3 linked regions of the Saccharomyces cerevisiae S288C genome follow. The gene in region 3 interacts genetically with the main gene of each other region. Each region holds a gene or a part of one and is shown on either strand. Other genes may lie near its edges.

Region 1 (5,359 bases), on a different chromosome or scaffold from region 3:
CTCTCCAAGTTGGAAGAAATAAATTTATCGCATCTCAGCTCCTTGAATGATAGTACGATGAAGTCATTCATTATTAATGTACCATTTTTGGAAAATTTAAAGAGGCTTGACATTTCGCACAATTTTGAAATTACAGGAATATCAATATATGAATTTCTAAAAAAATTTCAGATGGATCATGACAACGAAGCGGGAGGTCAACCACTGGCATATTTAAATATTGACGGATGTTCCCAAGTGTCTCATATCACAGTTAATATGATCCGAGCGCAGAACTTAGTTACTCAAGTGGATTGTGTTTATGAAAGAGATGTATGGAGAAAATTTGGAATTAATTCATATTCATACTCATAGATTAATAAATCACTGATGATAATGCAGTATCCTTCGGAAAATTCTTAGAATATTTAATATAACAAAATGGCATGTACCTTTTGGAGTTGATGGAGGTGAGAATATAGAAAGCTTTTTATATAAAAATGTACTTATTGTCTTTCATTTCAATTTTGAAAAATGTCTGAATTGTTCATGAAATTGTCGTTTGTGGCAGCCGACATAGCGTCCATGGGGAACCTGCTTGGATTGAATAAAGTGTTATCAAATGAACCGTTTTCAATAGCCGGTATGGGAAAATCTTCTGAGTTTGTTTGAACATCATAAGAGGAAATTGTTCCAGATTTTTTTCTATTTTTCCTCATCTCTGCCGACATATTTTGATTATAATAAGAAGATCTTTTTTTGAATTGAGGTCGTGATGGAACCTTCAATGGTGATTTCTTTAGCCGTAAACTAGATGCACCGATGGCAAACGATAAAGAATTTGCCTTCTGCCTTGTACCCTGCTGCGTGAATGAAGATTTTGAACGTTGTGGAGATGTAGAAGGCGATGGAGAAGGCGATAACATATCCATTTTCCTCTTGTTGAAGGTAGAAGATGGAGAAGGCAATGGCTGAAGAGGAAATCTTCCCGGTGCCGCTGTTTTGTTGGGAGACTTGATAATTGATAGTGAATTGGAGGAGGATTCTTCCAAGTCAACTCCCGGCAAGTCAGCATCCATTATGGAAAGAGATTTGATTTGCTCACTGAATCGAGGTTGGTAGAATTGTAAAGGGTTTTTTATTGACGAAGAGATTATTATTTTCTCCTTTAGGAATGTGATGGCCTTATCCAAGGCGAATTCTTGGCCACAGTTATTTTGAATCATGGAAATTTTCGGCCAAGTAGCTCTTGCACCTAAAGTAGTTTGGTGCAATAGGAAAAGTTGAGATGGGTTCTTCAATACTTCGTGGAATTGACCAACCATTGATAGATCGGGTAAAATTGTGACATTGCCAGAGTATTGTTGTAAAAAAAGGTGTTTCAATTTGGTCATCAAATAGGGATGGAACTCAAGCTCCTTTAGGATGTCTAAAAAATGAATAGTTTCGTCGGAAAAAAATTTGAAGATCTTTGTTACTTGGTTTCTGAAACGGGCGGTAATTTCCTTTTCAATTTCACCCCCAACGCAAGTGTTTGAAAACTTTAACAGGGGAAAGACATGTATATTTACCTGGCAGGCGATAATGTGGTCGACATTGAACATTTCAGAAAGACGAGAAATGGGCATGTCATTATCTACAGATCCGTCCATGAATTTCATGTTTGATAAATGTAAATTTGTTGCCCCCCACTCTTTAATCTTTCCAGTGTGAGGATCTTTCTCGAATAGCGGCGTGGAGGGGAAAACTCCAGGTAGAGAACAAGATGCGCATACGGCAGACCAGATGAGAACGTTTGGAGCGGTTAAATTGTTTAGTAGTTTCGGCTGTTCGTATATGGAAGCAGGCGAGACTGTGATATTCAGGATTTTTCCAGTCTTGTTGTAGGCTTCCCTAAAGGTCAAGTTTCCTAAAAACGAAAGCATTGTGTTAATCAAAGGTTGATTATTGAACCAGGTACCGTTTTGGCAGAACCTCGATATCTTGATTAGTAAGTTTTCGTTGGGAGATTTGGAATTGTCGTCATTGAAGATGTTAAACTCCATATTAAGTACATTGGTCAACAAGGAGGGAATTTCCTGGGTCGTGTGGACGCAAAATATGCTGGCAACAATGGCGCCAGCACTGCTACCGCTGATCACCTTAGGCATCAGGTCCGATTCAAAAAGGGCGGCAAGAACACCAATGTGGAAAAGGCCGAAAGTGCTCCCACCGCTAAGCACGAGAGCCGTGCGCCCTATGTTTCTTCTCGTCTGTTGCAAAATACCGAGGAGATAGTGATCGTTCATATTTGACTGATGGATCAGCGCGGTGAGCACTGCTTGAGACTCTTCTAGGTAGTCATGTATAATTTGTTTTGTGCCGGTATGCGAGTGCCTGTAAAGATTAACGTTATTCATGTTGCCAAGATTACGGACCCACTTAGTTCTAATCAGATAAAGCAGGCGGTGGTAGTCGTGAGTGGTTCTCAAATGGCGCATACGGATGGTCAAGTCTTGCAGCAGCTTATAGTTATACAACGAGGACTCGTCGATTGTTTTCCATTCGGAAAGTCCCGTTAAGTCGTCTAATCGCGACGCTATGTCATTCCATTGATCGTAGGAGATGGCGTGTTTTTTCTGGGAAGACAAATCGGATATGAGCAGCTGTTTACGGGAGAGAGTCTTGTGGTATAACCATTTGAAGAGCGATGATGAGTCTGTGGCAGGAGTGTTGGAAAGTTCGTAGTATTTGGATAAAAGAAATTCTGTTACTGGCAAGGTATTAGACATAGCAACGAAACAGAACCGTCTTCCTTGTGCTGTTTATGATGTCTTTTGTCTCCTATTGTTTTCGAATTTTATTTTTTTTTTTTTTTATTTTTTTATTTTTTTTTGTTTTATATAATTCCTCGCGCTGCCTTAATGATAATTCTTGATTTACTAATTGTTTCATGACTTCTGGTGCTAAAGGGAAGGGGGAAAAGGGAAGCGAAAACTTCAAGAGCAGAACGAAAAAAATAAAAAAAACAAAACAAAACAAAACAAAACAAAGGCAAAACAAGGCAAAGAACCTGATGGAAGAAAGCACAACCAGATATTAATAGCAACGAAAAATAGTAGAGACATTGAAGAATATGAGTTTGAGAACGCCGAAGAGAAGCAGGACTAGCGATGAACAAGAACAAGAACAAGAACAAGAGCAGGTACAGAACCCAGATACACATGTAAACAACGAGCATCAGCAGCGACCTGGGCCAACCACTCTATTGAGCACGCCAGTACGTCTCAAAAATGGCTTTGGAACACCATCGCCGCCGTCACCACCAGGCATAACGAAAAGCATCACTAAATCGAGAAGAAGGCCGTCGACAACGAGTCTTCAGGGTATATTCATGTCGCCCGTCAATAAGCGTCGTGTCGGCATAACCGCACATGGACGTGTATATGACCATAACGACGACGGACACGAAAGTGAGAGTGAGGACGACGAAAATGAAGAAGAAAATGAAAATCAAAAGAAGTACGACGGACACGTTAGTATGCCTTTGTTGCCACCGACAACGCCCAAGTCAAGACGGTCGGAGGTGTTTCTGTCGCCGTCGCCGCGTTTGAGGTCACCTCCGACGGCTGCGCGTCGGTCTACGGGCGAGCGGCCCATCCGCGAAATATCACATACTTTGCGCACCAGGCTCAATTACGCGTTAGTCAAGCTGCAAAATGGATGGACGGACAAGACACTTCCCGAGCTGGAGACGGAGCTTGCTCCAGCAGTGCAGACGCCGCCACGTCGCTATCACAACAGATTTCCAGATAGTGCAGACGCGGGTACTTCCGCGCATACAGCGTTTCTTCAGGCGCTCGGAGGCCACCCACCACGGGAGGAGGCCACGGCTGTCGAAACACTGATGCTATTGTCGTCGCCTACCAAGAAGCAACAACACCGACCCGTGCCGGCGACATCTGCTGGAGAACCCACGGACGAAACGGAGCCCGAGTCGGATACCGAAGTGGAGACGTCTTAATGTGGTAGTACGAGTTTTTTCTCCGCAATCTCGGAGTTAGTGCAGCCGCGCCCGCTGCTGCACCCTTTAGCATATATATAAAGTGCGTAATGTGCGTGCTAAAAAAGCTCACTAGTGCGTACTCTGCTTATCTCTGCGTATCCGCCGATCAACATCCGCGGCTAAAATGGAACAGAACAGGTTCAAGAAAGAAACGAAAACTTGTAGCGCTAGCTGGCCGCGCGCACCGCAGTCGACGCTGTGTGCGACAGATCGCCTCGAGCTCACATACGATGTGTACACTAGCGCAGAGCGGCAACGCCGCTCTCGCACTGCCACTAGGCTTAACCTTGTGTTTTTGCACGGCAGCGGCATGAGTAAGGTGGTATGGGAGTACTATTTGCCGCGTCTGGTAGCCGCCGATGCGGAGGGCAATTATGCCATCGACAAGGTTTTGTTGATCGACCAGGTTAACCACGGTGATTCTGCGGTACGCAACCGCGGCAGACTCGGCACCAATTTCAACTGGATCGACGGGGCCCGCGACGTGCTCAAGATTGCCACATGCGAGTTGGGCAGTATTGACAGCCACCCGGCACTAAACGTAGTCATCGGCCACTCGATGGGCGGGTTCCAGGCTCTTGCGTGTGACGTCCTGCAGCCCAATCTGTTTCATTTGCTCATCTTGATCGAGCCTGTAGTAATCACACGGAAAGCCATCGGCGCCGGGAGGCCAGGGCTTCCGCCCGATTCTCCGCAGATCCCAGAAAATCTTTATAACTCCCTACGTTTAAAGACGTGCGACCATTTCGCTAACGAGTCCGAATATGTAAAATATATGAGGAACGGTTCCTTTTTTACCAATGCGCACAGCCAAATCCTGCAAAACATCATCGATTTTGAGAGGACAAAAGCCTCTGGAGACGATGAAGATGGTGGACCCGTTCGCACGAAGATGGAGCAGGCTCAAAATCTCCTCTGCTACATGAACATGCAGACTTTTGCGCCTTTCCTGATCAGCAATGTGAAGTTTGTGAGGAAGCGGACTATCCACATTGTGGGCGCGCGCTCCAACTGGTGTCCTCCGCAAAATCAGCTGTTTTTGCAGAAAACTCTACAGAACTACCATCTCGATGTCATTCCCGGCGGCTCCCACTTGGTCAACGTTGAGGCTCCGGACCTGGTGATCGAGAGGATTAATCACCACATCCACGAGTTTGTCCTTACCTCCCCGCTGCAGTCCTCACACATTCCGCAATTGACCCTTGAAGAAAGAGCGGTGATGTTTGACCGGGCTTTCGACTCGTTCAAGAATGAAGCTTTGGTTAAAACGACTAAACAAAAACTGTAAACACTTGTGTACACTATTACATATATTATTCAATAATAATTAACTGA
Region 2 (4,266 bases), on a different chromosome or scaffold from region 3:
CTTAGAGTAAAATAGGCATTTTTCATATCTTCTTCCCAATTATTAAATTAGCAAAAAATTGAATAAAAAAAGCAGGTGGTTTAAGAATTGCGCAGGGAGAAGAAAGAATATCATATCTCATGATGGTAGCCACTTAGACAGAGAGAAAACGAAGTGAGAAGAGGCTAGTATTTTTATATCTTAAAAAAAAAAAAAAACAAAAAAAAAAAAACATAAATATTTGTATCTTATTGCTTATGATGATAATGTACAATGAATTCAAAACATGAAAATTGTTCAAAGTTTTTATTTTTATTTTCTCTTTCGTATTAAACTGATGGAACAAATGAAAAAAATGGATAAAAAAACAAAAAAAAAAAAAAAAACAAAAAAAAAACAGCTTTGCTGGAGGATGATTAACTTTTAATTTTTTTAATTATTAGGTTTTTCAATTTTTTATGGTTTTTTGTGTAAAATGCAATGAACGAATCCATTTTTTATTTTGCAAGTGTGAGAGGCCTTTATAAGGAAGACTCGGATTCACCGGCAGCAACCGGCGCAGAGTCTTCTTTGGTTTCTTGTTCTTGAGAAGCGAGTTCAGTGGATGATTCCTCTTCTTGTTGAGGAACAGGTGGTAGGGATATCATGAATTGGTCCAATGCATCGCCGACCAGTTCTTTTTCAATATTAATTTCAGTTTCAAAAGTTTCTGGTAACCAGTTTGACCAGCTCTTGGAACGAACGAAGTACTTATCCAATGGAGATGGTTCTTTGGCTTCACCGGTAACGTTATCACCTTCCTTGGCGGCCAAAGTACCTTCTGCAACATTGACGGTAGCGGCTTCGTTAGCGACAATTTCTCTCAATGCGGCTAAAATCAGGTTAGTGTCACCTCCGAAGGACATGTTAACAACTCTGTAAAACTTAGAGATTAAAGACAATGGAGCAAAACCATCCTTGGAGAGTTTGGACCTTAAGTAATTGTCGACGGTCAAGTTTTCTTCGCTGAAATAGTATTCAATTTGTCTAGCAATGTTGTTGATGGCCATTAACACTGGTTGGACTGGATAAAACTGTTGCTGTAATTTGACCATAGGTTGTTGAGGATGTTGTTGGTTGTGATGGAAGTGGTTGTGGTATTTAGAGCGGTTGTTGTTGTTATTACGAGCGTTGCGTCCTTGGTAAGGTTTAAACTGTGGTGGGAAGCCTTGGTTCTGAGGCATACCGGCGTTATTACTGTTGTGGAACTTTCTCCTTTGAGGACCATTGCTGTTATGGTGATGACTGTGGTGATGATTACGGTGGTGAGGTGGTTGTTGCTGTTGTGTAGATTGACCATTTTCTTGAGAGGTAGCGTCTTTTGAATCTTCCTCACCTACTGCCGATTCAAAGCCATCTTTCTTCATTTGTTGTTGCTTCTTAGCATTATGTTGGTGATGCTTCTTTTTCCTGTTAGCATTACTCGACGATGTCGACGATGCTGCAGTTTTGTTGTTTTTGCTCTTGTTGCTGTTGCCATTACTTGCACCATTCTTGGAACCGGATCTTTTGGTGCCAGAGACGGTAATGGAGGCCTTGATGGGAACCCACTTGGTAGCAGTCGATGATTTCGGAGTGGGTGTTCTGTTCTTCTTCTTTCTTGTGGCATCCAAGTCTTCTATTGAGATAGTAGAAACAGGGATCTCAGTAGGAGCAAGTTTCCATGGGGAAGATGTGGGCAATGGTGCCGGCGTCAAGTTGACTTGCTTGCTCTTGGAGCTCTCTTGTTCTTGCACTTCTGGGACTGGGGCAGTAGCAGTGTTTGCGGCGGCGGTTTCAGCAGACATCGTGGGCAGAGAAGTGAAAAGAAGATGAAACACGTTAGCAGGTCCAGAGTAATCCTGATGTTCTATTACCGATCTAGGATCCCAAAAGATCTTCATAAAACCGAAAAAGATGTTAAGAAATGTTTACACTTGTACTTTTCTTTCTTTGTTCTTGACCTACCAGAAGTGAAAAAAATTTTTCATTGCGTGGGTACATCCGTGCACCATTTCTGAAAAATTTGCGATGAGCATCCCTCAAAATCCGTATTATCCGCTAGTGTTTTGAGGTTCAACAAGACAACATATAAGAAGGGAAGAAGGAAAGGAGGCAATGAGAACTTGGGTCTTGCTCGAGAGTCCAGATCCACATGCAGGTTCAAAAAATGGTGAGAGATAACAGTAATAACGGTAGCGATAAAAGCGTCCATTGGGAGAGGAGGAATAATAACGGCGCAGGCCCCCGTTATCGTTCCAGAAGCGGTAATACCGGTGCTTTGGCAACAAAACTAAGTAATGGGACGCTCTCTGTCAGAGGATTAGTGAAGGACCGAACAGGAAGCGGCAAGATCGCGGGCTGTGTGGAGGCGTTTCTGGATGCCAGGACCCAATTGAATACGCCCTGGGACCGTGCTAAGTGCAATTGGCTGGACCAGATAGATTACTATGTACAGTTGAGAAAGACCGCGTTTTCTAAGGAATTGGACCAACTAAGGAAGCCCATGATCGATGCATATGTGGCGGAGATGAGGCAGAAGTTTGATGCCTCCTATGGACAATCCAGGGCGCAATTGGAAGCCAAACTGGCGCAGGTGGACAGTGAATGGCATATGGTACATGGTGATGTGCATGCAAAACTGGAAAAACTCGTGGAAGAACGCCGGTTTTTGAAAAGATTAAGCGACACGATCGTACCACCCAGGTCCAAAAGATCACAGCGGCTGTCTCCATTGACCAAAGAGGACCGAGCCAACTGTATCTGTCCGCAGCCCAAAGGAATGAGCGACACCGCTTGGTTCGAAGCCATTCAGAAGAAAATGTTAGGAATGAATGGTACCATCAAGCTCCTAGAGACAGAACAGAAACTACTGGCTGACGAGAAAAACAGCGTGAGGAAGACGTTCTGGCCCATGGTGGAAGCACATTCACGCTCGAATGAATTTGCTTATCTGGAGAAATGCATCAGGCTGATGGCCTCTCAGAGAGCAATATGCTTTTGTCTTGATATAGAGGCTTTCGAAACAAACCAGAACGTAATCACCGAAATTGGGATTTCAATTTATGACCCCAGGGAAAATATGGTGCCGTCAATGGTTCCAATTACAAAGAATTACCACCTAATTATCGAGGAGTCCCTGGAACTTAGAAACCAAAAATGGGTCTGTGACTACAAGGATTGCTACTTATTGGGAGAAAGCTATGTTTTGAGCTTGAAAGAGTGCGTGCATTTCATTCAATCACTAATAAACTATTACTTGGTCCCGGTGACCGAAGAAGACAAGACATGGTCAAGGGCATTTGTTGGTCATCACGTGAGCGGGGATCTTAAGTGGCTGGAGACTATTGGTGTCAAATTCCCTGGCAGAGGGTATGAAGGCCATCTGGACCATACGCTGCTTTTGGCTGAAACTCCCGGTGATCTAGACGTGTTCATCTTGGACACTGAGCAGTTTTACAGGAAATCGTATGGCGAAAAGGGCAGCAGTCTGGGCAAGATTCTGCGGTTGTTCGAGATACCGCATGCGTTTCTACACAATGCCGGTAACGATGCCTACTATACCCTGCATTTGTTCATGAAGTTTTGCGATGTTAATTTCAGGAAAATAAGCGGCATGGACGATGTTCTTAAAGTAATGGGCCAAGTAAAAGTTTGGGGAGAACGAGACGTACGAGAGCCTAAAGTGGTGCCCATGTCGTATGCCATCTCCATCGAGGAGGCAGTCAAAAATCGGACGTACCGCAAGGGCGTCAAGAGCAGTAGGAAGGAAAGAGTCTGCCAAACGGAATTCGGTGGGTTAACGTATTTCGGAACTGCTAAAGACGCCTTCACAAGCACTCTTCCGACACACTAAATATATTCATCGATTTTTTTCCTGTAAATACAAACACATGCTTGTATACATATACATATACATATATATAAGCTCATTATAAACCTGTGTGCATGGAAAAAACTTTGTCTGCCCTTAATTTGCAAGAATAGGTTCTAACAATTCCTCCAATTCACCAGTCTCCCTCAATTCCTGCAAGTCGTCGTTGCCTCCAATATGTTTACCATTAATATAGATGTTTGGCACGGTTCTTTGGCCATTAATCTCATATAACGCAGCCTGAATGTCTGCGCCTTCCTTCATGTCATTCAATTGCAAAACCAGAACTTTGGACCTGGGAACCTTTAACTTTTCAAAAAGCGTGTTTAGGGCTGCATGGCAGTATGGACAGTACGTTTTGGATGCGACGAAGATCTCGTTTTCTGCAATAAGGT
Region 3 (4,492 bases):
GTAGAGATGGTCGAAGCTTTGGATAGTTCTCAAAAACATTTGGTGAAATTTGCCAAGACACCTTTGATGACTACTTCCGTATTTGGTTTTTCTATTGGTGATTTAGAATTTTTGAAAACGGAAATCAAGTTGGAAGGTGATAGGACTATTCCCGTTTCAATTTATGCACCTTGGGATATTGCTAATGCAGCTTTCACTTTAGATACAGTCCAGAAATATCTACCTTTGTTGGAATCCTATTTTAAATGTCCATACCCTCTGCCAAAGTTAGATTTCGTCCTACTACCATATTTAAGTGACATGGCAATGGAGAACTTTGGTATGATCACCATCCAACTAAACCACCTGCTCATACCACCAAATGCCTTGGCCAATGAAACCGTCAGAGAGCAAGCACAGCAACTCATTGTCCACGAACTCGTTCATCAATGGATGGGCAACTACATATCTTTTGACTCGTGGGAATCTCTTTGGTTTAATGAGTCTTTCGCTACTTGGTTAGCTTGCCACATACTAGAACAGAATGGTGACCTATCCCATTATTGGACCTCGGAACCTTATTTACTACAGCAAGTGGAGCCGACCATGTGCAGAGATGCAGCTGACGTTAATGGAAGAAGCATATTTCAGATTGCGCAACGGAACACTGGCATAGATTCTCAAACCTCCGATATTTTTGATCCTGAGGCATACACAAAGGGTATTATCATGCTGAGGTCCCTGCAATTGGCTACAGGCGAATCTCATCTACAAAAGGGCCTGGAAAGTGTATTTGAAGATACTAAAACATTTCATGCGAGAAGCGTCAAACCAATGGATATATGGAATCATATCGGAAAATTTTTGAAGTCTCAAAATATTACAAACTTTGTTTCATCTTGGACAAGAACGCCAGGCTTACCTGTCGTTAAGGTCGAAGTAGAAGAGAAAGACGGGAAAACGCAAACAAAATTGACTCAACACAGATTTATCAATCAATTATCTACTGAAGAAAAGGATCAGTTAGAAGATGTCCCATATCAGGTACCCTTATTCGGGGTTCTGCCAGATGGTAAAATGGATACTAAAAATGTACTATTGACGGATAGGACCTTAAAGTTCGATTATCCTATCTTAGTAATTAACCATTTAGCCCAAGGTTATTACCGCGTTTCATATGAGTCCGAAGAGTGCTATGCATTGATTAATGATAAAATAACTGAGGAGACGTTATCCGAGATTGACCTTCGGAAGATTTTCTTAGACTTGTCGCAGTTTATTGGAGATGAGGGTTTCCAGAATTCTATTCATTTGCACGGTCTCTTTAAGATACTAAACCATATCGCTTCTCCTTCCACAAAGATTGCATCAAAATATTGGGATCCTCTTTCCAAGGGGTTGGAAGTTCTGCAAACGATCGATCGTGCCAGTTTAACGAGCTCTAAATTACAATCTTTCTTAAAGAAAAAAATTGTCATTCCCCTTTTCAATAAGATTGATTGGCCCCACGGTGAATTTGATAAAAGCACAAACCCTCACGAGTTGAAAGTCATGTCTCAAGTCTTGTTTTTAAATAAAAACTCCGCAAAATGTGCTGAATTGTGTCAAATTTATTTTAAACATCTATTACAGGGCCCACGTTCGAGCGTACCGTTAGAATTAGTGAACTCAATCCTTGTCGTCGTATCGCAACATTGTGCAAACATCAAGCAGTGGAAGAAAATATTCGATTTGGTGAAACGCAGTTCCTGTACTGGTATCACAAACCATGTCATTAATATGTATGACCAAAACAGTAGCGAAACCGCCATGTTGATTCAAAACGGTGCAATAGAATCTCTTGGATTCTGTTTAGATTCTGATATCGTGAAAAAAACTTTGAATTTTATCACTTCCAATATTGAGTCAGAGGGGATGGAACTGGCATTATTCGGATTTAATTACAACTTTAAGAAGAGGCTGAACAAAAACGAGAAACCTCAAGACCAAGTCGTTCGTGAAACGATCTGGGAGTGGTATATGGGCAATTTTGACCAATGGGCACGGAAGGCTACAAGGAAAGGTACCACCACGGGGGATCATCTACACAAGGCGTTAAGGAGTATTTCCCTGATAATCTTTCAAATGTTTGTAGCAGACGAGCCACAGAAGATAGAAAAGTTTATTAATTTGGAGAAAGAGAAGTTGGGTCAAAGCTTGTTATCTTTGGACGACATCTGGGCCTCTGTCCAGCAAGATGAAGAGTCCAGAAAGACTATAAGAAGAGACTTGGCCTCCTTGGTCTGATTTTTTACAAGTATTTCAACACACTATCGTACGTAGATTTAGTAGTCTTCTAAAATAGTACTATAAACGATGTTCTCTTAGCAGAATTCGAGTTATTATTGTCATATACTACGAAAAACCTGTAGATTCAACAATAATAGGTTGGTATAAAAGAATGTAAACATAAGGAATATTAATCTAGTAATTTTTTTCTCATGAGGTTGAGAAAGCATCTAAAATAGCAATTAGCAAAATGGAGAAGATCAAAGAGAAATTGAATAGCTTAAAATTAGAATCTGAGTCATGGCAAGAAAAATATGAGGAGCTGAGAGAACAGCTCAAAGAATTAGAGCAATCTAACACTGAAAAAGAAAACGAGATTAAATCTTTGTCCGCTAAAAACGAGCAACTCGACAGTGAAGTGGAGAAGTTAGAGAGTCAATTGTCTGATACAAAGCAATTGGCTGAAGACTCCAATAACTTGAGATCTAATAATGAGAACTACACCAAGAAAAACCAGGATCTAGAACAACAGCTAGAAGACAGTGAAGCCAAACTGAAGGAAGCAATGGATAAACTGAAAGAGGCCGATTTGAACTCTGAGCAAATGGGTAGAAGGATCGTTGCTTTGGAAGAAGAAAGAGATGAATGGGAAAAGAAGTGCGAAGAATTCCAAAGCAAATATGAAGAAGCTCAAAAAGAATTGGACGAAATTGCTAATTCATTGGAAAATTTATGATTCCCATTGATAAGACTAAAATTACGGAAGATACAAACGACAAACGCGCTAAAGGCAACGGAGGTGATGATTTTATTATTGCTCACACAACTGATGTTGCTGACAGATGGCAAATCCTTTTCATTTTAGTTATTATCATTGGGTGCTTTTTGGAAAAAAGATGAACTAAGCCTCTCTTTATTTCGTCCATTTTATTCTAGCTTTTACATTATGCTTTCACCTTTACCAAAAAATAGTATGTATTTCTTTTCCCCTTGCTATAAATCAAAAGTACGTAGAAACATAAACAGGCGAGAAATACATATGCATATACGTCTACACTACTAATTTAATTTCCACTTTCTTAATATCAGTCAATCGAAACCACTAGCTTTCACACTAAGACTAGACCCTGTTTAACTAATATAAACTTTTCCAGAAAGCTAAAAAAAAGGTCGGAAAAAGAAGGTATACGTTTTTGCGACGACTGAGATCCAAGAAGAAAAAAAAAATAGTAATCGTTGCGTCAGCTTTATGAATAGATGGGTAGAGAAGTGGCTGAGGGTATACTTAAAATGCTACATTAATTTGATTTTATTTTATAGAAATGTATACCCACCTCAGTCATTCGACTACACTACTTACCAGTCATTCAACTTGCCGCAGTTCGTTCCCATTAATAGGCATCCTGCTTTAATTGACTATATAGAAGAACTTATACTGGATGTTCTTTCTAAATTAACGCACGTTTACAGATTTTCCATCTGCATTATTAATAAAAAGAACGATTTATGCATTGAAAAATACGTTTTAGATTTTAGTGAATTACAACATGTGGATAAAGACGATCAGATCATTACGGAAACTGAAGTGTTCGACGAATTCCGATCTTCCTTAAATAGTTTGATTATGCATTTGGAGAAATTACCTAAAGTCAACGATGACACAATAACATTTGAAGCAGTTATTAATGCGATCGAATTGGAACTAGGACATAAGTTGGACAGAAACAGGAGGGTCGATAGTTTGGAGGAAAAAGCAGAAATTGAAAGGGATTCAAACTGGGTTAAATGTCAAGAAGATGAAAATTTACCAGACAATAATGGTTTTCAACCTCCTAAAATAAAACTCACTTCTTTAGTCGGTTCTGACGTGGGGCCTTTGATTATTCATCAGTTTAGTGAAAAATTAATCAGCGGTGACGACAAAATTTTGAATGGAGTGTATTCTCAATATGAAGAGGGCGAGAGCATTTTTGGATCTTTGTTTTAAGTGCAAAAATGAAATTTGAAGAATGGAATTAAAATTAAATGTCTCTAAGTATAAAAACTAAATAAAATATAGGGTATCTGTAAACCACTAATAAAAAATAAAACAGGAAAATAAAATTAAGCAAAATATCGTTGCGTATAATCACAGCATTTCTGGGATGCGTCCGTGAATGTCCTTAACTTGACCAACATTGACATTACTCTTATTTGAAAAATCTACTAACCTTTTCTTACTTGGTCTTCTGTCTGGTTCCATGCT

What was found.
Region 1: mutations in TPM2 (region 3) and TGL5 together harm fitness more than expected from each alone (negative genetic interaction), as found in Saccharomyces cerevisiae (2 studies listed by BioGRID).
Region 2: of TPM2 (region 3) and SRO9, extra expression of one rescues a mutant of the other (dosage rescue), as found in Saccharomyces cerevisiae (one study listed by BioGRID).

What each region holds. Positions count from the first base shown.
Region 1 is NC_001147.6:476,439-481,797, forward strand, and holds TGL5 (triacylglycerol lipase), read right to left. Parts: upstream 2,751-5,359; coding exon 501-2,750; downstream 1-500. Other genes in the region: DNA-binding SCF ubiquitin ligase subunit DIA2, read left to right, coding at 1-354; transcriptional repressor WHI5, read left to right, coding at 3,095-3,982; LPX1 (triglyceride lipase), read left to right, coding at 4,149-5,312. UniProt on the Saccharomyces cerevisiae protein: Lipid particle-localized triacylglycerol (TAG) lipase. The lipid droplet/particle is a lipid storage compartment which serves as a depot of energy and building blocks for membrane lipid biosynthesis.
Region 2 is NC_001135.5:56,874-61,139, forward strand, and holds SRO9 (Sro9p), read right to left. Parts: upstream 1,806-4,266; coding exon 501-1,805; downstream 1-500. Other genes in the region: GFD2 (Gfd2p), read left to right, coding at 2,153-3,853; dithiol glutaredoxin GRX1, read right to left, coding at 3,968-4,266. UniProt on the Saccharomyces cerevisiae protein: May overlap in function with tropomyosin and may be involved in organization of actin filaments. Acts as a multicopy suppressor of RHO3 mutation. RNA-binding protein which may modulate mRNA translation.
Region 3 is NC_001141.2:87,721-92,212, reverse strand, and holds TPM2 (tropomyosin TPM2), read left to right. Parts: upstream 1-2,497; coding exon 2,498-2,983; downstream 2,984-4,492. Other genes in the region: TMA108 (Tma108p), read left to right, coding at 1-2,265; REV7 (Rev7p), read left to right, coding at 3,497-4,234; AXL2 (Axl2p), read right to left, coding at 4,376-4,492. UniProt on the Saccharomyces cerevisiae protein: Involved in cell morphogenesis. Binds to F-actin and stabilizes the actin filaments.